Tamandua tetradactyla: one gene and its partners. The protein of the gene in region 2 purifies or fractionates together with the protein of the main gene of each other region. This does not show direct contact. Links are inferred from orthologs where the notes say so. Each region holds a gene or a part of one and is shown on either strand. Other genes may lie near its edges.

The links. Proteins that work in one complex are often made in the same cells at the same time.
Region 1: the proteins of WDR82 (region 2) and CXXC1 purify together in Homo sapiens (affinity purification with western blotting; 7 studies listed by BioGRID and IntAct, with this or other methods). This does not show direct contact. The link is inferred for Tamandua tetradactyla from reciprocal best matches to the Homo sapiens genes WDR82 and CXXC1.
Region 3: the proteins of WDR82 (region 2) and SETD1B purify together in Homo sapiens (affinity purification with western blotting; 4 studies listed by BioGRID, with this or other methods). This does not show direct contact. The link is inferred for Tamandua tetradactyla from reciprocal best matches to the Homo sapiens genes WDR82 and SETD1B.

The regions. Positions count from the first base shown.
Region 1 is NC_135344.1:32,372,770-32,380,455, reverse strand, and holds the start of CXXC1 (CXXC-type zinc finger protein 1), read right to left. Parts: upstream 3,012-7,686; 5' UTR 2,230-3,011; coding exon 2,227-2,229; intron 2,201-2,226; exon of another isoform or gene 2,084-2,200; intron 1,506-2,083; coding exon 1,387-1,505; intron 1,286-1,386; coding exon 1,185-1,285; intron 875-1,184; coding exon 639-874; intron 548-638; coding exon 371-547; intron 1-370. UniProt on the Homo sapiens protein: Transcriptional activator that exhibits a unique DNA binding specificity for CpG unmethylated motifs with a preference for CpGG.
Region 2 is NC_135341.1:33,592,521-33,599,568, reverse strand, and holds the start of WDR82 (WD repeat-containing protein 82), read right to left. Parts: upstream 3,008-7,048; 5' UTR 2,695-3,007; coding exon 2,534-2,694; coding exon of another isoform or gene 2,506-2,533; intron 1-2,505. UniProt on the Homo sapiens protein: Regulatory component of the SET1/COMPASS complex implicated in the tethering of this complex to transcriptional start sites of active genes.
Region 3 is NC_135331.1:10,116,903-10,123,971, reverse strand, and holds the start of SETD1B (histone-lysine N-methyltransferase SETD1B), read left to right. Parts: upstream 1-4,058; 5' UTR 4,059-4,120; intron 4,121-4,271; exon of another isoform or gene 4,272-4,376; intron 4,377-4,588; exon of another isoform or gene 4,589-4,735; intron 4,736-4,849; 5' UTR 4,850-4,863; coding exon 4,864-5,037; intron 5,038-5,280; coding exon 5,281-5,379; intron 5,380-6,034; coding exon 6,035-6,305; intron 6,306-7,069. UniProt on the Homo sapiens protein: Histone methyltransferase that catalyzes methyl group transfer from S-adenosyl-L-methionine to the epsilon-amino group of 'Lys-4' of histone H3 (H3K4) via a non-processive mechanism.

The sequences.
Region 1 (7,686 bases), on a different chromosome or scaffold from region 2:
GTGGCCCCACCCTAGCCCCCTCCCACAAGTGCCTGTCCCACCCACCTAGCTCTGCCTTGCCTCCCCAGACATAACTGGTTCCAGCCCTCCCACCAAGACATGCTCAACCCTGTTCCAATTGCCCTGACAGTTCAAACACCTAGAAATACCTGGTCCCACCTACCCACTCAAACATACCCAAGACTGGGGGGAGGGGGGACCCTGCTACCAGCCCAGCACACCTGGTCATGCCACATCAATTTGGACATGCCAAGCTCCTTCTCACTTGCCTGGATACAAACAGACCCCACCCGACCTGGCCCACCCATTCTTAGCCTCCTGGAACACTGTCCCCATACCACTGACCCTGGCCAGCTCTGCCCATGCTCACCCGGGCCCGCAGTTGGCACTGGCGCAGCCGGCACTTCTGCCGGATCTTGTTGGGGCCACCAAATTTCTTCATGTCCCGGCAGAAGTCACAGTGGCCACAGTCCTCAGTACGCCGGCATGCCTCACACTCACCACACATGCGGGCTGACCGTTTGATCTGCTGCTGCTGCTGGTGATGCTGGTGGAAAATACCCAGAACAGGTATCAGGAACCCAGGCAGGACCTGAGATGGGACCACCTTACCCGTCTCAACCACCACAGCCACTCACCTGGCTGGGTGTGGCCACCAAGGGCTGTGGAGAGGCTTTGTGGGGCGAAGCAGAGCCCCGAGCAAGCATGGCCCCGACCCCTGTCCCAGACCCCGCCCGGCGCTGCAGATCTGGATCCGGGACAGGCCTCTTACGCCCTCCACCCTCATCCCGGGGCTCACTGCCATCACGCTCACTGCCGTCCCGTTCCCGAGACTTCTTGTGCCGATATCGGATCTCCAGCTTGGGGTCTTTCTCTGTGAGATGGAGGGCAGGGCTAAGACCAGTAGGCATTGGGAGGTTTGGATGGTCCCAGAACTCCTTCTTCTTTTTTCTTCTCTTTCCGTCCCACCCAATAGCTCTGTTATCCTGCTCCAAGGAAGACCTGCACTCCTCTGTGGGACCTTCTGTTATGGCTTTCAATGGAAACCCCACTCCAGTTCACCATAAACCCACAATCATTCTGCCCACATCATCACTATTCCCTGTGACACTCCCTCCCCCAACATTATGGTTCCCTCCTCCTCCCTGTAGCCCCACCTGCCTGTCCATCCCCACCCCCCTCACCTCGGCAGTCTCGACAGTACCACTCCCGGATGGCTTTGGCCATCTTTTCAGTGATCCGGATGCAGTCCCCATGGAACCACTCATTGCAATTGTCACATCCGCTGCAGAGGATGGAGTCGGTAATGGAGGTGTGAGGGTCCCACTCCACTGATCTCACCCAGCCTCCACAGGCATCAGCGCCACCCGCCTCTCCCTGGCTCACATCATGAAGCAGTTGATGTCTGGCTTACGGCAGATGCAGTAGATGGGGGCATTCTCCCCATTTTCTGACTTGCTGTCCTCACCAGCATCTGGAGGCTCAGGATCTGAACCATCTCCCTCCTGTGAGACCATTATGGCTCCTCAGAGAACCCCCATCATGGTGCCACATTCCCCCATCATGGCTCCATTATGGCTTAAGACAGGTCCCCATCCCTCTGCCCACAGACTTCCCATCACAGTTCTCCATAAATCTCTCCATCATGGTCCCCACAGACTTCCCCCATCACTCGTCCCCTGACAACCCCTTTCTCTGCTTATAAGTCCCCCATCACTCTGTCCCAGACCTCCCATCGCTTACTCCACTGACACCCTATCACTCTATCTACAGAACCTCATAAGGGCTCATTGCAAATACTTTATCACTTACCACACACACTCCCCATGGTGACTACCCACAGGCCCCCGTGATTGATCATCAAAAACATGACTTACCCCATAGATTCCCCCCCTCATGGTTTCCCACAGATCTTCCAGAGTCCCTGTCCCCATCACAGCTCCCCCTGACACAACTCACCACAAGACTTATCACGGTTCCTTACGGACCGCCAACAACTCATCACAAACTCCCCCACTACTCTTCTCATAGAACGCCCCTATCACGGTTCCCCACGGAATTACCCCCAGACATTCCTACTAACCTCCCATCAGCGAACCCCATCGTTCTGCCCACAGTCCACTGTTAATGGCTCACCCCAGACCCCCGTGCGTCTGCTGATGAACCTGACCATTACCAAGTTTACCAAACCCTACCGCCGAACACCTCAAAGGAACCCCTACTTACCATATCTCAGCTCCTGGTGTACACGCACGCGAACCTAGCCAACAACCTACGAATCTGCACAGAACACTCCACAGCGTCACCGGCCGTTGCAGACGCGCCCAAAACCACTTCCGCTTCTGGCCGCTCCTCCGACAACGTATTACTACTGCGCAGGCTCTGTGTGGTTGCTCTGGGGCAAACAAGTTAGCCGCCCGCTAAGAGCCCCTAATGTTTCTCTGGAGCCGCCATCTTTACTATCGAATCCGTACGGTCGCCGTGTCCCTACGTTCGCAATATTCATGACCGCGTATACATTTCTGTTTTTACGTAGGCGCCGCCACCTTGTCTGTAGTGTTCGTACGGCGGCCGCGGGTAGTACGTCAACGTTAGTAAGCAAGATGGCCGCACTTACTGCGCGACATCCTAGCAGATGCCGCCATCTTGACGTTTGATTCCGTAGTTTGGCCGAATCGTACGTTCTCAAGCAACATGGCGACGCCCAAGCGAGGCTTCCGCGAAGACCCGGCCATCTTGGCGGTTGGTGCCGTAGACGCGCGGTTCGGGTGGCAGAGCAGCTCACAGGTAAAGCGGCTCCTCCCGAAAGGTTATCAGGATCAAGCCTTTCATTAATTTCTCCATTCAATAACTTTTACCTTGCACATATATTCATAGGGAAGCTGCAGGCTGCGTGTCTGGCTCTGCGAAGGAAACCAGTCTTCCCTGTTATGTCTCTGACTTCACCTCCCACACTAACTTCCCCCTTTCACTCCTACTCCTTGCTGTTCATCAGACAAACTGTACGCGGTTCAGCCTCTGGACCCTTGAACTCTTTACGCTCTTATCTCATGAGCGTGCAGGAGTTCTCATCCCTCGGCTCAGGATCAGTCACGAGCAATGAAGAAAGACCACAAACAGTCGTGTCGGTGGACCCTGGTAAGAAATCACCTCAGCCGGAGTAGATTTTGAGATTTCAGACCCCACTAAATCCTCTTCCCGTCACCCCTAAAATGGAGATTTGCCGGGTTCCTGGTGATGTCCACTTTGATTCACTTGTTGCATTGGGATGTCCCGATATTCTCTCCCGTGGGTTTTTTTTTTCCTCATATAAATTATGTTCATTAATTTGTTGTTAAAAATTTTTGTTTTGTACAGGTCAGAGAACTAGAAGTCTACTCACCTGTGAAATGGGGATAAAGATCTAATCCGTGTGACCATGGAAAGTGACTGAGAGCTCTGTACGCAGGATTCTGGAGTCTCTATCCATCCCCCTTCAAACTTGGGAAGGACATGCTATGCCTTATTTCAGGTCGAAGGGATCGAGGGAATATAAATGTTTTGACCTTGGTTGACATTTTTCTGGATTTCGTGACTTTGGACATGAGTTACTACTGATAATCCATTCTGTGGCTCATGGATCAAGGGGTCAGATTTGTTTATTTTTCCCAAACATTCTTCCTCACATTTCCCTCCACACAGTCACAGATACCAAGGTACAGGGGCTACAACATGGGCTCTAGGACCTTCTCCTTGTAAAAGAAATTTTTATCCATAAAACAGTCCTACATCTACGGCATAAGACTTGCCTCATTTTTACTTTACTAATTAATTTTTAATTAATCTTAACTTGATTGTAATTTATTTTAATTAATATAACTTAATTTAACTTCTTAGATTTACTTTTTCATGTAATGGATTAAATATTGTAATATAATTCAGTTTTTATTCCTGTAATGTACTTGTTAATAAATTGTATATAATTTTAATTTAATTACCAGTTGATGTATCAAAATAAAATTAAGGGAATATAGTCAATGTTTAAATTTAATCTAATTTAACAATTTTATTTTTTTAATATTTTCATTAAGAAATCTTCACACACATACATTCCATGCATGGTGTACAATCAGTGACTCACAATATCATCACATAGTTATGTGTTCATCACCATGATCATTTTTTAGAACATTTGTATCACTGCAGGAAAAAAAAAAGAAAAAACTCATACATCCAATACACCTCGCATTGACCATTAGTATTTTCCATCTACCCAATTTATTTTACCCTTTGTCGCCCCTATTCTTTCTTCACTTTTTTATCCATATTTTTTTACTAGTCTGTCCATACCTTGGATAAAAGGAGCATCAGACACAAGGTTTTCACAATCACAGTTACATTGAAAAAATTAATATCTTTATACAATTGTCTTCCAGAATCAAGACTTCTGGAACAAAGCTCAACAGTTTCAGGTACTTCCCTCCAGCCACTCTAATACACCATAAACTAAAAAGGAATACCTATATAATGCAGAAGAATAACTTCCAGGATAACCTCTTGACTCTGTTTGAAATCTCTCAGTCATCGAACTTTATTTTGTCTCATTTCTCTCTTCCCCCTTTTGCTTTCTCAATCCCTTGATACTGAGTCCTGGCTCATTTGGGATTTCTGTCTCACATTGCTGGGGATATTTACATGCCTCAGAGTCATGTCCCATGTAGAAGGGAGGGCAGTGAGTTCACCTGCTGAGTTGGCTTAGAGAGAGAGAGAGGACACATCTAAGCAAAAAAAAGAGGGTCTCTGAACGTGATTCTTAAATGCCTAATTTTAAGTAGGATTTGCAGGAATAAAGTTTCCATAGGGGCAAACCCCAAGATGGAGAGCTTGGCCTATTGATTTGGTTGTCCCTACTGCTTGTGAGAATATCAGAGTCTCCAAATGAGGAAGTTGAATATTTCCTCCTTTCCACCCATTCCCCCAAGGGGACTTTGCAAATACTTCTTTATTCACAGCCCAAATTACTTTGGGATTGATTAAGTTTAATTTACTATATTTTATATTCATTTAATTATTAAATTTAATGACATGTATCATTTAATTTCAATTTGGCTTTATTTAATTTATCACATTTATATTTTAATTCAAATTCACCTAATCCAGTAAATTAAAATAAATTAATAAATATTAATTTCATGTAATTAATTAACTACATTTAAGTTCAATTAATGTATTTTTGAAGTGTAACTTTTAAATGTGATTTATTTTATTAAACAATGTGAAAAAATGACCCACAATAATAAGAAAGAAGCCATCAGTACAGGTCCAACAGATGCTAAACTGGAATGTTATTCACATATCTATGCAAACCTAATGCAATGTATTTGACTACATATGTAAAATGGGCAAATTTTTTGAAAAAGCTTAACAAAATTAACTCATGAAGAAATAGAAAATCTGATATGTCATGCAGAAGACCCAGGTTTGATTCCAGGCCCATGCACTCACCACCCCCATGCCCCTCCCAAAATTCAACAAAGGGTACTGCAATAACAGGATAGTCACATGGAAAAAGAATGAAATATGATCCCCACCATACAGTATACAAAAAATAAAAAACTCATCCAAAGAAAGAAGTGCATACAGCAGAGTCCAAGAGGGTTCCAAATGCAGAGCTTCTAGCTGTGCTGTCCTTGTGGAGCCATGGACAGTGTTAACAATATATGGAAATACAAATGGAATATTGTGAACAAGGGAAGCTCACTGAACTGTGGTGTTCAGAGTGTTTATTGGGCCTCAATCATGTAGGCATGATTCACTGCCCATGTTCCCCTTAGCAGGTCAAGTTAATACCATGTGACCCAAAGCCCTCAGCCCTAAATCATATTGTTGGACTTTTTGTTGGGCAGTCCTCACCCTAAGACCTCTTAGTGTCACCAGCCCTCATCTAAATTTCATAATTAGACTCCAGTAACAAAAGATCCCCAGGAAGACAATGACACTCCTTTCAGGCATGACATTCCAAGGGTTTTGAGTTCACCTCCCGGAAGCTGCGGGCAAAAGCCAGAATACGTTTTGAGCAAAGTTATATTCTTTACCCAACTGCAAGATGTTAACAAAATATTAGCAAATTGAAACCAATAATTTATAAAAAGGTTAATACACCATGACCAAGGTGGGGCTTTATCCCAGGAATTTAAGGTTGGTTTTAATATTTAATATTTTGTAGGGAAATACACCATGGCAACCCAATGACCTTACACAACTCTACAAAAGTAGATAAAGCCAAATAGATAAAGCTTAATTGCAATCTCACCAAGTCTTGATGGAATCCCCTGAGTTCCTTCTAGAGCAAAGGGAGACAAGGCCATTTCTCATTCACCTACACAGTAGTAGCTGAGTATGGAACTTTCTACCTTGCCTCCTCTGTGGGTATAGCTGCAGGCTCTAAAAGCACCTGGCTGCAGTCTAGAGTTGGCTTTTTAGCAACAGAGTGACCCACCACCTGGGCTCCCCATCATCTGTCACCTCCAAATCAATGTTGTGAATGAGACTAGGAATGAAGAAAACTGACACCATGCTGATCTTGCTTTTGCTGTGTGGCAAGCTGTTGGAATGTGTAGGGGCTCGTTGTCACCTAACCAACTGAATCTATGGAAGGGTGGTAATCAACCTACTAGCGGTAGTAATGATACTTGCACTTTATTAGCCTCCACACTAGTGTTGAAGGATTACTTGTCCAATTGACAATTTGGAGCAGTGAACAGACCCAGTAAAGACACAGTGCCTTTTTGGAGGAATGCAAAGGGCCCATTCGGGTGAAGTAGGAAATATAAAAAGACTCCTTGAAATCTGCTGGCAGATGCTCTTGCCTAAGTGGCAGATGGGCGGGGAATAAGGGTTTCCCATTGTACAACCTGTAAATGAAGGCTTACAGGCTGCATAGCAAGTGTAGGATTGAAACATGCTACCTGAATGGTGTTTTATGGTCTATAAAAGTTTTACTTACTTTTTTTTTTTCAGAAGCTTAAAAACTCCAGATTATTCCTATACCAGATAAGCCCTCAAACCCAGAGGTACCAGTCTCTACAAGTACATTAATTGGACTGCTCTATCCCAAAATGTTGTCACCCCCTTTCAGCATACAGAATTTAGAATGGTCATTGCCCAAATACCCCTGAAGAGTGAACGGTTGATCAAATGAGTGGGAGGGGTTGTAACAGAGAAGTTAAGATTTAACAAATGATTATCACTACTATCATTATATAGATATTTCTTTTTAGTTTCTGGTATATTGGGATAGCCAGAAGGGAATACCTGAAATTTTTGAGCTGCAATCCAGTAGCCCTGATCTTTGATAACGATTGTATAATTATATAGCTTTTATCTTGTGATGATGCAATTGTAAAAACTTTGTGATTGGTTCTGCCTCAAGCCAGTGTATGATTAGATAAGTGTGCCAGTTTGAAAGTATTATGAACCCCAGAAAAGCCACGTTTTAATCCTGATTCCATCTTGTGGAGATAGCCATTTCTTTTAATCCTGATTCAATAATGTAGGTTGGAATCTTTTGATTACATTACCTCCATGGAGGTGTGACTTTTGATTATATGGAGATATGACGCCACCCATTCCAGATGGGTCTCGATAGTTTATTGGAATCCTTTAAAAGAGGAAACATTTTGGAGAAATGACAGAGCCAACAGAAAC
Region 2 (7,048 bases):
AATAATATAAAAGCCTTCTCTTTAAATAATTTGTACTACCTACCACAAACAATATCCTTTATATTCTTTGAAGTTGGAAAAATTACTCAATGGATGAACTCCACTGTAAACAAAGATTAAATGAACATTAAACTGGAAAATATTAAGCACAAAGAATCTGATTTTAGCCATTTTCAAACTCCCAAATTCTAACACTAGTACTACCTAATAAAGATACTATGCCTTCCCAAGAAACATTACTTTTCATCCAATGTTGATTTAACCTACACTAGTGGCAAAAATTTTCTTCACATTACCTCTTAGGATCATGAATTCCTAGAGACTAAAGAGACCTTGGAAGCAATGGTTGTCTGATATTGACTTCACCAACATTACATGGCTGGTCATAAGGCCAAACTAGAACCCAAGTTTCCTAACTACCAGGTTTCTGATGCCACAGAGTATAATGAAACAAGGCCACAATTGCTTGATGGGAGAAAATTTTCAAAAGCATGCCTATAGTACTGTATCAACACTACATTTCTTAATTTAGGTAACTGTGCTCCAGCTCTGTAAGACAAGGTCCTGGTGCTGAGGCCATCCATGGTGAAGTGTTTAAGGATAAAAGGGCCTGATAACTTCAATTTACTCTCTAATAGCCCAGGAAAAAATATGCATACAAACAAATATTTACATAGAGTGATAAAGCAAATGGAACAAATGTAACCAACTGGTAGATCAAATGGGAGGTCTCTGATCAATGTTGTAACTTTTCTTTAAGTTTGTAATTATGTAAAAATGCTAGGAGGGAATATATTGCATTGTCATAAAGTTGGCATTTTACTTTTAACAAGACAGAACTTCATGCCATTGTCATCCCTCCCAACAATTCGAAATTTTACCACATTCGGAGACCAACTAAATTCTACTACAGCCTTCATTACCTTTGAATCAGAATACACCTCCATCCTCAGGTACCAGGGAGAGGTTCTAATCTGTGTACAAGCAATTAACATTTCAGGCAAGCCAGCTTCAAATTACTTCTAGTTCCAGACTCTAGAATCCCAACCCCAACCCCAGCTTGAAACTCCCTCTTTCAAGCTGACTTCTAATGGTCAGGCCTGCACAGAAATCCATCTACTAAATGAGTAACACTGACTCAAATAACTTAGTATGGTCCAGGTAACAATTCCCTCTCCCTCAGGATCACCACCGCAGGCACTCTTCCATACACTGCAGGCAGATCCAGAACCAATTACAAAATACTTTCTCACAAGGACCAGTGGGAAAAAAATTAGGTAGACCAAAACCGCACTACTTTAAATAATCAAATTGAGAAATGAAGAAACAAGTTCCAAAAGAAAAGTTTAGGGATATCTGTTTAAAAAAGAAAGAGGCAAAAGGAACACCTGGAAAAGAGAAAAATCCAAAGATTCAAGAAATATCTGGATCCAGATAACAAAACAAGGTCTGACAAAACCAGTAACCACCGACTTAAAAGTAAGTCTGCTTGGGGAAGATGGCTGAGGGAAACTCAAAAATTTAGCTTAAGGCTCCAAAGGAGCTCACAAGTCAGTAAGATCTGGAGAAAGCCAAGGATACAGGAATGAAGCCAGGCTGAAAAGGTGCCCCAGGGAAGAATGCAAAGTGCTGTGCTTATTAAGATTTTGCAAGAGATGCAGGTGTGGTGGGTCGCCCGAGGATCTGGGGCAGCATAAAAGTTGCAAGATCAGACTAGTAATTTTGATCATTCTATGTGGACCACGAAGTGTAATCGAAAAAAAGTGGGAGAGGAAACACGAAACTGTTATACGATGCTTTCTTTGTTCTAACGGGAGGCTCACATTCAGATTGGGATGGGACGGCCAAGTTCGCTGGTGTTATGGCAAAAAGAAATAACAGGAAAGGAAGAAAAAGTTTCAGATGTTAAAAAGTTCAGTATAAGCGTGGACACCGGGTCCGAGGGAGTAACAGAATGGCTTGGAAGTGGAAGGGAAGGACCGGGGCCCAAAGAGGCACTACAAAATGAAATCCTGACAGCTAAGAAACTGCACCCACGCGGCCTTATGGTAGAAAGGCCGATGGAAGCTGAGAGGCAGAGAATGGGTGGACTACCGGGGCTGGATCGAGGTCACCGAGAAGAGGGCAGAGAGAGGTGATGCTCTAGAATAAAGCTGGAGTAGTTCTTTGAGGTTCAGTGTCTGGGCCAGAGCCAATGGGCACCATCGACAGTACCAGGGTAGCGGAAAACTCTACCTGCTGGGGGCGGGATGGGGCGTTTTAAAGGTCAAGGTCAAGGTGGGGTTCGGTAAAAGATGCAGAAGTGCTCTAAAAGGAGACCGAAAACAGACAAAATAACACTGACAACAACAATAATAATAAAGACGAAGGAAAAGGAAAGGTCTCCCGGACGGCTGCACGTTGCAGGCGCCCCTGTAAGCAGCGAGTGCAAAATAGGCCAAGAGCCGAAGTCGAGGAGGAGGGAAGGCCGCAGGGCGAGAGCCGGGCCACTGGAGGGACTCAAACCTGGGCCCAGGGCCAGCGCCGCACTCACTTGCCCTCCTGGCAGTCATAGAGCACGATGGAGTCGTCGTCGCTGCTCGAAATGACCGTCTCGCCGTTAGGGCTGAAGTCGAAGCAGTTAATCTTGTCCGAGTTCTCGCGGAACACCTTGGCGACGCGGAAGCTCCGCAGCACGCTGTCGGTCAGTTTCATGGCGGCGGCTGCTGGAGGCGGCGGCGCAGGGCTGGGGCGGGGCCCAGCGGCGAGCTGGCGGGCGGGCTGCCGAGGGGCCAACCTGGGCGGAGCGGGCGCCGCGCCTGCGACGAACGAGAGGACAGGCGACAGTCAAGCCGCCTTCTCTTTCTACTCGTGCAGTACTCTCCTGCCCGGACTGCGGGGACGTGCAGACGGTTTCTTCTCCCGGTCGCCTTAGGGCCAACCGGCGCGAGTCCTGCTCATTGTGTCCACCATCTTGGGACGACAGGCAGAAGCCGAAGGCGAGGAGCCTCTGCCGTGGTGCACGCCGGGAAAGAGGGTGGGGCGGGAAAGGCCGGGAGGCGGGGCGATGACGTCAGGGTGGCCTCCTGGGAGTGGAGCTACTGGGCGGCCTGTGGCTGCTGTGTCCCGGTGAGTTGCTGGACCAAAGGGACAGCCGAGGGATTTTGTGCCGGGCTTTGAGATATCCCGAGAAACTCGGGGGCCCCCTGCTGGCATCTTGACCGCCGACCACGAGGAAGCTGAGCACTGCTAGTGTCAGGTGCTGCCCTGGAGATCAGTTTTGGGGGTGTTTTCAGATGAGCAGATAGCGGGCGGGCCTGACTGCTCGCCCAAGACGCCGCCGCCAGCGAAGAATTTCAATTTCTTTTTTATTAATTGAGATATAAGGTAAGGTGAACTGCCCACATTTTAAGTGGATGATTTTTTTCATTTGATTATACTCTCTGACCACCACCTAGAACTTTTTCAAAGCTTTTTAAAAAAACTTTTTATTGAGTTATAATGAAAAGAGTTGAAGTGAGCTAATCTTTTTTTTTACATTTTTATTGTGAAATATAACATATATACAGAAAAGTAATAAATTTCAAGTACAGTTTAACAAGAAGAAATGAACTAATCTTAAGTGTAGCTCCATACAGTTTTATAAATGTAAAAGCTCCTATATTTAAGCTTTAAAACGTACATTCTAAAATGCATAGCGTCAGTTACAAATAAAAATTTTAAAGGAACAATTATCTCCTGAATCAACAAAATGCAGTTTTAAATTCTCCTGACTCCTTGCTCGCCTTATGCATATATACACGTAAACATAGAAGTAACCATTTTTGTCCTGCTATAGTAGTGTATCTTACTCATTTACCTGCGTTACTAAATCGGATTGTTTTGGTGTTTTTTATTGAAGTGTAATTTAGATTCAGTAAAAATTTCTCCTTTACACTGGATAGTTTTATGAATTTCGACACCCACAAAAAGTCTCCCAACCACCACCATATTAAAGATATACAACAGTTCCATTACCAGCTTTGTAGTCAATGGGATTGTTTTAAGGGCAATATTGTAAAAGGTATTTTTTGCTGTAAAAGGAAGGAAAGTTGATCTCTAGTAAAGGATCACAAAATAGGAACCATGCTTTCTGGCTTTAATTTTCTTCAAGGGATTAAACTCTGTGCAATCACTACAAGTTTGTTACTGGATAAAGGCTGTGGATTCTGTTGCCTTACGCACTCAATAATCAATTCTTGACACACCAGGTTTCAAGAGAGAGAGTTTATAACTAGGTGTGTAGTAGGAGAACAGATGGTCTAGCGGCCCGAAATCTGTCTCCCCAATTTTAGGGGGTTCAAAATTTTTAAGAATTTTAGTAAGGGGAGCTGAGGTCATTACAATTTCAAAAAAAACAGCTGAAAGGAAGGAAGGCTGAACTATCATGTCACTACTAAAGGTGTAAGCCAAAGGGAAGGGAGACAAGTTATCTTTCAATAGCAGAGTCTAACTGATACTATTTACAGATGTCAGACGCTGAAAGTAGTTAATGGCTGACTTCAAATTTTTCATTAGTCTTAGGGCTTTTTCCTTACAAGAAAATGAGCAGATAAGGGGATAACAGCTCTTACAGTCACAAAGGCACAAAATAAGGGCCTTTGCAATCATTTCAGGTATCAGGGCAGCCGAATTATAGTATAGGGATTTCAAGCATTCCTCTCTACTCCAATATTCCAGAAAGCAAAAAGGAATATCTATATAATGACTCAATAATCAAAATCATCCCTTAAGGAAAATTCAACTTCCCCAACTTTATCCTGGAGGTTATTCTTACGCATTAAATAGATAACACCTTGTTAGTCGAGATGTAATGGAGAGGCTGGAGGGAAGTGCCTGAAAATGTAGAGCTGTGTTCCAGTAGCCATGTTTCTTGAAGATGATTGTATAATGATATAGCTTTCACAATGTGACTGTGATGTGAAAACCTTGTGTCTGATGCTCCTTTTATCTACCTTATCAACAGATGAGTAAAACATATGGAATAAAAATAAATAATAGAGGGAACAAATGTTAAAATAAATTTAGATTGAAATGTTTGTGATCAATGAAAGGGAGTGGTAAGGGGTATGGTATGTATGAATTTTTTCTGTTGTCTTTTTATTTCTTTTTCTGAATTGATGTAAATGTTCTAAGAAATGATCATGATGATGAATATGCAACTATGTGCTGATATTGTGAATCACTGATTATATATGTAGAACGGAATGATCATAAATTAAGAATGTGTTTTTTTGTATTTTTTTAATTTAAAAATTAATTTTAAAAAACTGAAAAAAATCATCCCTTAAATCCTAATTTCTCGATTACAGATTCTAGGATCTCTAACTCTTGTTGCTTCACAAATAGTTAATTGGACAATGGTAGTGGATCCTATTTATTTTGCTTTAGTAAACTTGCAGTGATTAAACAGGAAGAGAAACAAAGAAGGAAGACTGTTGAGTCCTTTTAGTCGCTGACATCAGGAAGATTTGATATCCAGAGACCCAGATGTAACCCGGACAACAGTAAAAACAACAGAAAGCCTGAGACAGTTGGGCCCTTTCTGGAAAGAACTAGGGTCTCATCTCCTGGGTAAAAGAGGAGCCAGGATTTTTACTTAGGAGAAATCTTTTTTTGAGGGGAGAGGGTAAGATCCTGCCTAGGTCTGGGCTGCAATTGCCTCCTGACAAAGAGCAGAGAGCTTCTGGTTACAATTTGCTCTGGGGTCAGGAAAAAGCCTGTTTGAAGGAAACCTGAATGGATGGCAACTTTCCAAACTGCAAAGCAATGGGAGAAAAGCTCTCGGTGCCCCAGAGCACTCGCTCACTCACTTCACTGCAAAATCCTGCATCTTTATCTACAGGCTAGAAAGGCTGATATAGAGCCTTCTTTGAATCCTTAGATAGCAATAAGACAGATTTGGTGCCACGTCCAGGAACTGTTGGTAAGTAATATACTCAGTAAGATGCCATATTTTGGCTCATGTTAACCTACAAAGAATATAGCCACAAAAACAGCCGAAACCTACTCAATGTTCTCAGCCAAAATAAATCTTTGCAGCATATCTTTCAAGTTTGTATTCACTGTACCTTTTCCAGATTTCACTGTTAAGACCAAAGCTGTCTCCTAAGATTTGGCATCCTGCATTATTTTTGGAATGCAAAAAGTCATTTTTTCATATTTTATGAGTGTTCTGCTATGGGTCACAGCCTGGAGACTAATTCAGATACTATTTCATATTCGTAGCCCAGCTCCCTGCCTACTATAGCCCAGCTGTTCCAGACTTCCAGTCCACCAACATTGCTGCCTGAAAGGCTGGACTTTAAAAAGTGACCCAGAAAAGCTGGCTCCAGTGGAGGATGTTCAGAGGGGGAAGCTGCAGCCAGAAGTAAATCAGAATGTCTCAAAGAGTATCAGACTTAATTTTTACTTTTCCTTTTTTTTTTAAAGCATTGTTTCATTCATTTACTGTTTTCATGCAAGTAAATGCATATGAATTGAAGAAAAACTTAAAAATGCAAGTAAGTAATAATAATAATAAAAACATCTAGAGATGGCCACTGTAACATTTTGATGTAGAACTTTTTCTCCTGAAATCTATTCTTAATGGGTTCTTAATATGATATTAGTTATAATCTACTCTTTCATAGGAACATCTTCCAGGACAGTAAATATAGAGTTACACTATATATGGCTATATAGTATTCCAGCATGTGGTTGTAAAGTAATTTTGCTTCCCATTTTATTTAGAGCCCAGCCAGGGTCTGGTTCAATATATATTGTTAATTGAATAAGTGAATTTAGGATTCCAGATATATTATTGGCCCATTTATTACATTTCTGCTTTTCATATTACCGAGTTTAATTGGAGCCAGTCCTAAGAAATTTATCTTCTCTCCAGAACAGAGAGTTCCTTATGAATACCAATTCTTGGAGATAGATTTCTGACTTGGAATGCCCCGTGGGGTACCCCTGGAGCTTGATTAACCTCTTATAAAAGCCCTCAGACCTACCAGTCAGGTCTCTCAGGTGACCATCTTCATTAGGA
Region 3 (7,069 bases), on a different chromosome or scaffold from region 2:
AGGTTCAACCCGGGCGACAAGCAGCAGGCGGCGACTCATCTGCATTTCCAAAGACCCGCCCTGTCCGCATCCCCTCCCCCAGAAAGGGCCGGAGATCTAAGGGTTTACCCCAGAGCCCTCCGCCTGGGGGGGGATCCCGGGGAAGGCCCGCTCAGCTTTCCCAAGCCCCAACCCCCACCTCCAGCCTAGAGGGCCGGGTTGGTGAGATGGCCCCAGGGCGTCTGCGGCCACCGCAGGGGCCTCAAGCTCAAAGTGAGAACCAAGCAGGAGAACTGACCCCGCCGGCTAGGCTTATCAGGGGGCGACAGGGTGCCAGGGCATGGGCGCGAAGCCCGAATAGGCAGACGCGGGTTGGGAGAGGGAGGGCTGCGGCCAGAGCAGGGCCGCGGGGGAGGCTCCTAGGCCTCCGGAGAAGCCGGTAAGGGTCAGGGGGCGGCTGCGAGGCCCCGAGCGGCCCCGTGGCCCTTTGCTACTGGTTCCCGCGCCGGAGGGAGGAGGGAAAGCCGCCGGGGCCTGGCCTGGGGAGGAAGCCTCCTCGTGCCCGCCTTGGGGCCTCCGAGTCGGGGTGGGGGGTGGGCTGCCAGGAGACTGGGGGCGTCCGTCGTCGAAGCTGGGCCCCCCTCCGCCGGGAGCGCGGGGCTCTGCGGCCTCCCCGGGCCCCGGGCGTCCACGCGCTCTGCCTCCCCCCTCCCCCCGGGCCGCGGCCGCCTCCTCCCGCCTGGCGCGCAGCGGCCGCCACCGCCCGAACTGCGGGCGGCGCGCGAAATGGCGCCCGTCTGGCCGCCTAGCCCCGCGGAGGCGAACGCAGGAGCCGCCTCACGACGCCCCGGAGGCCCGCGCCCCCCGAAACGACCCCCGCGACGCTCCCGGGCCCGAACTCCGGCGCCTGCGGGCTCTCGGGGTTCGGCCGGGCCAAGGACGCGCCTCCTGCCCCGGGCTCCCAACGACGACCAGGGAAGGAGAGAGGAAGGAAGACGAGAGCTGGCCGCCATTAGCCGCTCGCAACCCTGCCCAGCCGGGCCCGCCCGCCCGCCTCAGCCCCAGCCCCAGCCCCAGCCCGCGGCCCTGCTCGAAACCTGAAAATAAAACTGGTGTTGGGGAGGGAGGAGCGAGCGCGGCCGGGAGAACAGGCTGCGCTGGGGCAGCAGGCGGGAGAGATGCTGCGTCATGCTGCCAACATGGACGCCGGCCTTTTGTCCTGTTTTTGGTTAGGAAGCCCAGGCGCGCCCGGAGCCCCGAAAAGCGGGCTTCGGAGGGCGAGACCCCCACAACCAAAAGAAAGAGGCCCCTAGGCTGGGCGGGCAGGTTTCCTCGTCTTTTGAGCTTACCCCCCCAACCCCCAATCTCCAAGAACTTCAATTTTTCTCTCCCCCACCAAGACTCAAATCTGGGACGAGAGAGGTGGATGCCCCGAGGGTCGCGGGGGAGACCCTCTTCTCGCCTCCGGGCCAAAAGGGGAAAGGGGTCTGCACAGCCCTCCTCACGACACACACCCCCTCCCACGCGCCGGCTGCCAAACCCATAAAGCTCCAGAAACCGTCTCCCCTCAGCTCCCAAACAGTTGTAGCCCGTGGCCTGTTCGACAAAAGGATTTCCTCGAAGTGGCAAAAGGCACTGGGGTTTTCTGTTGTTGCTGTCGTTTGTTCTTTTACTTACCCGCGCAGCCCGGTGCCATGGAGTCTGGAAGATCAACCTGGGCGGTGGTTTTGGAGGTGTTATTGTAAAAAAATATATATCTGGCTTTTTTTCTGGGTTTAGTTGGGAAAACTTGGGGGAACTGGTGGTGTCTTTTTTTGTTGTTACCTTTTAGTAAGTTACACTCTCATGCATTTTCTGCTCCTTCCACTTCTGCAAACTTTCCAGGGTTAGGTTGGCAAAAGGCGGCTTCGCTGAGGACTGTTTACTGCTCTGGATATAGCAATGGTGTGCTCATCATTAAGAGACAAAAGGCGAAAATACACAGTCAAATCAAACAAAAGGTAAAAGACGCACCAGCCAGCCCAACCACCCTAGAAAATACCCCCGAGTTAACGCTGGTATTTGGCTGGAACCAGCTAGGACTTGTTTTCCAGTTTTAATCTAGTTTCCTGTGACGGCTTTAGTCTCTCTACACAAAGAGAAGGTCTTCCTTTCCTTCGCCGCCCCCCCTCCCCCAAAGACGAGAAAAACAGAGCTGTTTTTCTTCAAAAAGATCGATTTTCAAAGAAAGTGTACATGTTAATGGGAAGAAAGCTGACTAGCACGTATTGTTGTAAACATTTTCCAAAGCTCAAAGCCAAAACCTTAGCTTCATCAAAGCAAAATCGTCTAAAAGCATTTTAACTGGCTTATATTAGACATGAAACAAAGACAGACATGCAGATGAAGTTTCAGAAATTAAGGACATCTCAGCAACATTAACATGAAAACTGCACTGCGTAAGGACAGAATGGATTGGGTACTTACAATGTAAAAGGTTTTTAAAAAACTTAAAAAAAGAGTAACGACTGCTCACAATTTTTTTGTTGCTGCCATTTCACTAATCCTAAAACTATACATTTAAAACATTACCTTGTTAAAAAAAAAAAAAGAAAAGAGAGCAGAAGGAGTTAATAAGATGGCCAGTTTTAAGTGTTTAATAGAGGAAACTACGTATTTAAAAATTTATTGTTCAGTCAAGAGAATACAGATTAAGACAGCTCCAAGCTCCCCCCACCCCCACCCAAGAAAAAAAAAGAGGAAAAAAATTAAATATGTCATTTACTTAGGTTTTTTGGAATTCAAGATTGTTAACTGCTGAACATTAGTGGTGTGCTATGACCTAGTTATACAAGACAAAGATGGATTCCAAGTCATAAGGAAAAATCCAGATCTTTTTAAAAAGTCTTCTTCATCCTTCCAAGTGTGAGTCCTTTAGCTTGTTGACAAATGTTAAAACACCACATTGAGGCGTCCTGAACTGGATGGTGGAGTCAAAGGAGAAGCATTCCCCATTTGCAACAAAGGAAAAACCCACTTGGCCATTTAATTCCATTGCAGAAAAATGGCTCCCTCATCTTGTTGGCCTCTCCTTGGTGTCTGATGAAGGATGTTTTGAGATCAGCGTCTAATAACTCAAGCCCTATAGAAGCCGCGCGCTGATTGGCTGCCGCGCCCTGCCGCCCTGCTCCAGCCAATTACCTACCCACGGCCAAATTACAAACCCCGAAAAGAGCCCCAATATGCGATCCGCCACCGCGAAGCCCCGGTGAGGCGGCTCCTTCCCCCCGGCCGCCCGAGAGGAGCGGCAGAGGGGGCTGCAGACGCGTCCTCGCGAAGCCCGGGAGCCTCGGAGTTGAACTCACAAAATGGAAGCCGCGCGCTGATTGGCCGCCGCCACTCCCGGCCCTTTAATAAAGAAAGGGGGAAGGCAAAGACAAATGCAGAGAAGGGGGACGCTTCTTCGCCTCTGGAGGGAGAAGTGGGGTGGGGGGTGGGGGAAGCATGTGTTCGGGACAATTACAGGGCGCTCTCCTCCAAAAATAAAAACACAGACGCTCCTATCACCCAGGTCCAGGCGAGGGCTGCATCCTCCCGGGAAGGGGAATGCTAATCTGGCTGGAATCCGGGCTTCCCCCTCCCCAGCCCCAGCCCCGCTCCTGAGGGAGGGGTCGCGGGGCCCAGGAGGCGGCCGGAGCGGAGATCCTCGATTGCAAACTCGCCTCGAGTCGACGTCGGCCTCCACCCCACCAACCCCCCCCTCCGCCCCACGGCTCCAAACAATCACCCACACACACACACACACCCAGCCCCGGCCCCCGAGTCCACGCGCACCCGCCGCCGGCCCCGGCAGTTTAGAAACAGTTTTGGAGGCCCGAGATGCACGCCGCGGCCCCGACGGCCGCCCGGGCCACGGGAGGCTCAGCCCGCGGAGACCCCCCTCCCCCGCAGCCGAGCCCCCCACCTAAGTCCCAGCAGAATAAATAAATTAAAAGGCCTTCCCCCCGGGGAGGGGGGAGGCAGTGTGGGAGCGCGCGAGTGAGGGGTGGGGGGCCGCCGGGGCCCGGGGCTTTGGCGGCGCAGCTGCCGCCGCCGGGAGAGTGCCTGGGGAAGCGGCGAGGAAGGCGAGGGGAGGAGGAAGAGGAGGAGGAAGAGGAGGAGGGTGAGCGCTCGGGTCGGGCTCCTTAGCGGTGTATTGTGGGATGTGCGGCTACTGGGAGCCGAGCCTCCGCCGCCAGCCGCCTCCCGGGCAGCAGCAGCAGCAGCAGCGGCGGCGGCGGCATCAGCTCCGGCCCCGGCAGCCGCGGCGGCGGCGTCCCCCCCACCCCGGCCCCCCGTCCGGCCGCCCCGGCCTCGGCTCCCGCGGGGGACACCATGTACTGGCTGGCGGCGCAGGGAGGCCGGCGCCCGGCGGGGATGTAAGCGCGGCTCCGGGAGGGGGAGGCCGCGGGCGGCAGCCGGGCGGCGCGAGCCCCCAGCCCCGGCCCGAGCGGGCGGCGCCAGGCCTGCCGCGAGCCCCGCGCCCGAGCCGGGCCCGAGCGAGCGAGCGAGCGCGCGCCACGCCGGGCGGCCGGGCGGGCACCATGGGCCGGAGCCCGCGTCCTCCGGGCGCCCCGGGCCGCGCCGGCTCGCTCGGGGGGCCCCCGGGACCCCCTCGCTGCCGACCGGAGACGGTGGCCGAGCGGGCGGGCGCTTAATCCTCCCGGAAGGTTGAGTCTGTCTCTTCATCCTTCTTTTGGGGGGGCGCAAGCGAGATAGCGCCTTTTGGGGCGCGCTGGTAAGGTGGGAGGGGGTGGGGGCTCGGGGGGCTGGTGATTTCGCGTGTGTGTGTAAGAAGCGGCCGCCGCCGCCGCCGCCACGGCGGAGACGACAACAACTTGCTGGTTTTCAGGTTGGGTTAACGGCATGGAGAACAGTCACCCCCCCCACCACCACCACCAGCAGCCCCCGTCGCAGCCCGGCCCCTCGGGCGAGAGAAGGAACCACCATTGGAGAAGTTACAAGTTGATGATTGACCCGGCTCTGAAAAAGGGGCACCATAAACTGTACCGCTACGATGGGCAGCATTTCAGCTTGGCGGTGAGTGTCCGGCGCGCCTCCCCGCCCCCCCCCACCCCCCACTCCGCAGCCATGGGGACAGAGGGGCCCCCGAGCCACCCGGGGAACCCCTCCCGACCACGGGGCCAACTGTCAGCCGGGTCCCGGGTCCCGGAGTTTGACAAGTGCCAGGAGAAGGGGGGGGTCTGCCCCCTGCCCCTGGGGAGGGGACCAGCCCTCCCATTCCCCACCCCCCACCCCTGTCCCCCGCTTCCTTCCCCACAGATGTCCAGCAACCGCCCAGTGGAAATTGTCGAAGATCCCCGGGTCGTCGGGATCTGGACCAAAAACAAGGAGCTGGAGCTGTCGGTGCCCAAATTCAAGGTAGGACCCCTCCCCTTTGCCCCCTGGCCTCTCCCCTCCTTCCCCCCCCCACCGCTCTTCCCCCCCCCCCCCCCCCCCGAGTTCGAAAATAACGCCAGTCCTGACCCAGCCCAGCCGGATTCGGAGTTCCCGCTGTCCCGGGCAGGGGAGGTTTTGGCGGGGAAGGGGAGGTGGCTGCCCAGAGCGGTGTCCCCTCCGGGATACTGTAAACAGAATAGCACTCGGGGAAACTGTAACGAGGGCGCTGATACAGTGTCCCGCCCGGCCGGGGGGCTCCGGGTCCCCACCTGGCTCCCGCCAGCCCTGGGACTCAGCCCAGGGACCCGCCCCCCTTCCCGGCCCAGAGACTCTCAGAGGTCAACTTCCCAACCCAGGGGGTCGCCCCTGACCCGGGTCGGGGAGAGGAGGCCAGAATGGGGGGGTGGGGAAAGAGAAACTGTTTCTTTTTCCCCTTTCCTTCCGAACCCTGAGGACTTCCACGTTCCAAACGATTTAATGCTTTGCTTCCCGGGCCCGCCCGCGTGCATTTTTTTTTTTAAGAAAAAAATTTATTTTTTACCCTTCATTGTTTTCAACGAGCGGGCGAGTGGGAAATGTTGTGTTTTCCTTTCGGTTCCAATATTCTCCGACTCCCTACCCCCTCATCCCCTCCCAGATCGATGAGTTCTACGTGGGCCCGGTGCCTCCGAAGCAGGTGACATTTGCCAAGCTGAATGATAACATCCGAGAAAACTTCCTGAGGGACATGTGCAAAAAGTATGGGGAGGTGGAGGAGGTGGAGATTTTGTACAACCCCAAGACCAAGAAGCATTTGGGCATTGCCAAGGTGGTCTTTGCCACGGTCAGGGGCGCCAAGGAGGCCGTTCAACACTTGCACAGCACTTCTGTCATGGGCAACATCATCCACGTGGAGCTGGACACGAAAGGTGAGTGGAGGCCGGTGAGTGGAGGCCGGCTTGGGCCTGCCCATGGGGAGGAGCCACCGGGAGTCCTGTTGCAGTGGCCCCTGTGCCTCATGGGGCCCTGGGTCTGTACCGTGCCCCCACTGTGGCCCTTTTTATTTTTTTTGCACCCCTCCCCTCCCCCCAGGGTAGAGTCACGTGTTGCTAAATGTGTTGTCTGTTGCTAGGAGACAGGCTATAATTTACCAAATGTGCCGGGCCTTGGCCGCTGTGCCCCTGGGGACCATCCGGAGGCATCCCCACTGCGGGCACCCCGGCGGGCCCTCCCGGAGCCCTGGTGGCTTCAGTTTAGACAGTCCCCAGCGTTGCTGCCTGTGTTAGGGGAGGAGGCAGAGTTTGTTTATTTGTGGGGGGACTGAGGGAGGCCACGAGGGTGCCTTCAAATGAATAGAAAAGCCCTCAACTAAAAAGAGAGCCCTCTGAGGACTCAGGGTGTCCCCCCACCCCCACCCCAAGCTGTAGGAACCAATCTGGGCCAGGAGTGTCTTTTCATTGATAAGGTTTCCAGCCATGCGGGGCGGGCAGCTCTGGGTGCTCGGGGCTGACATTGTGTCTTCCCTCCTCTTTCTTAAAGAGACAGCAGCACCTCCCCTGCCCTGGAACCTGGCTCTGCTCTCCTTGACTGGCTGAGGCAGGCTGCTGGGAAAGCCAGGCTGAGGAGGCATACCCCTACCCCCAGGGTCCCCGGAGACTCTTCCTGGGTGCTGGTTAGAGGGGCTCAAAGGACT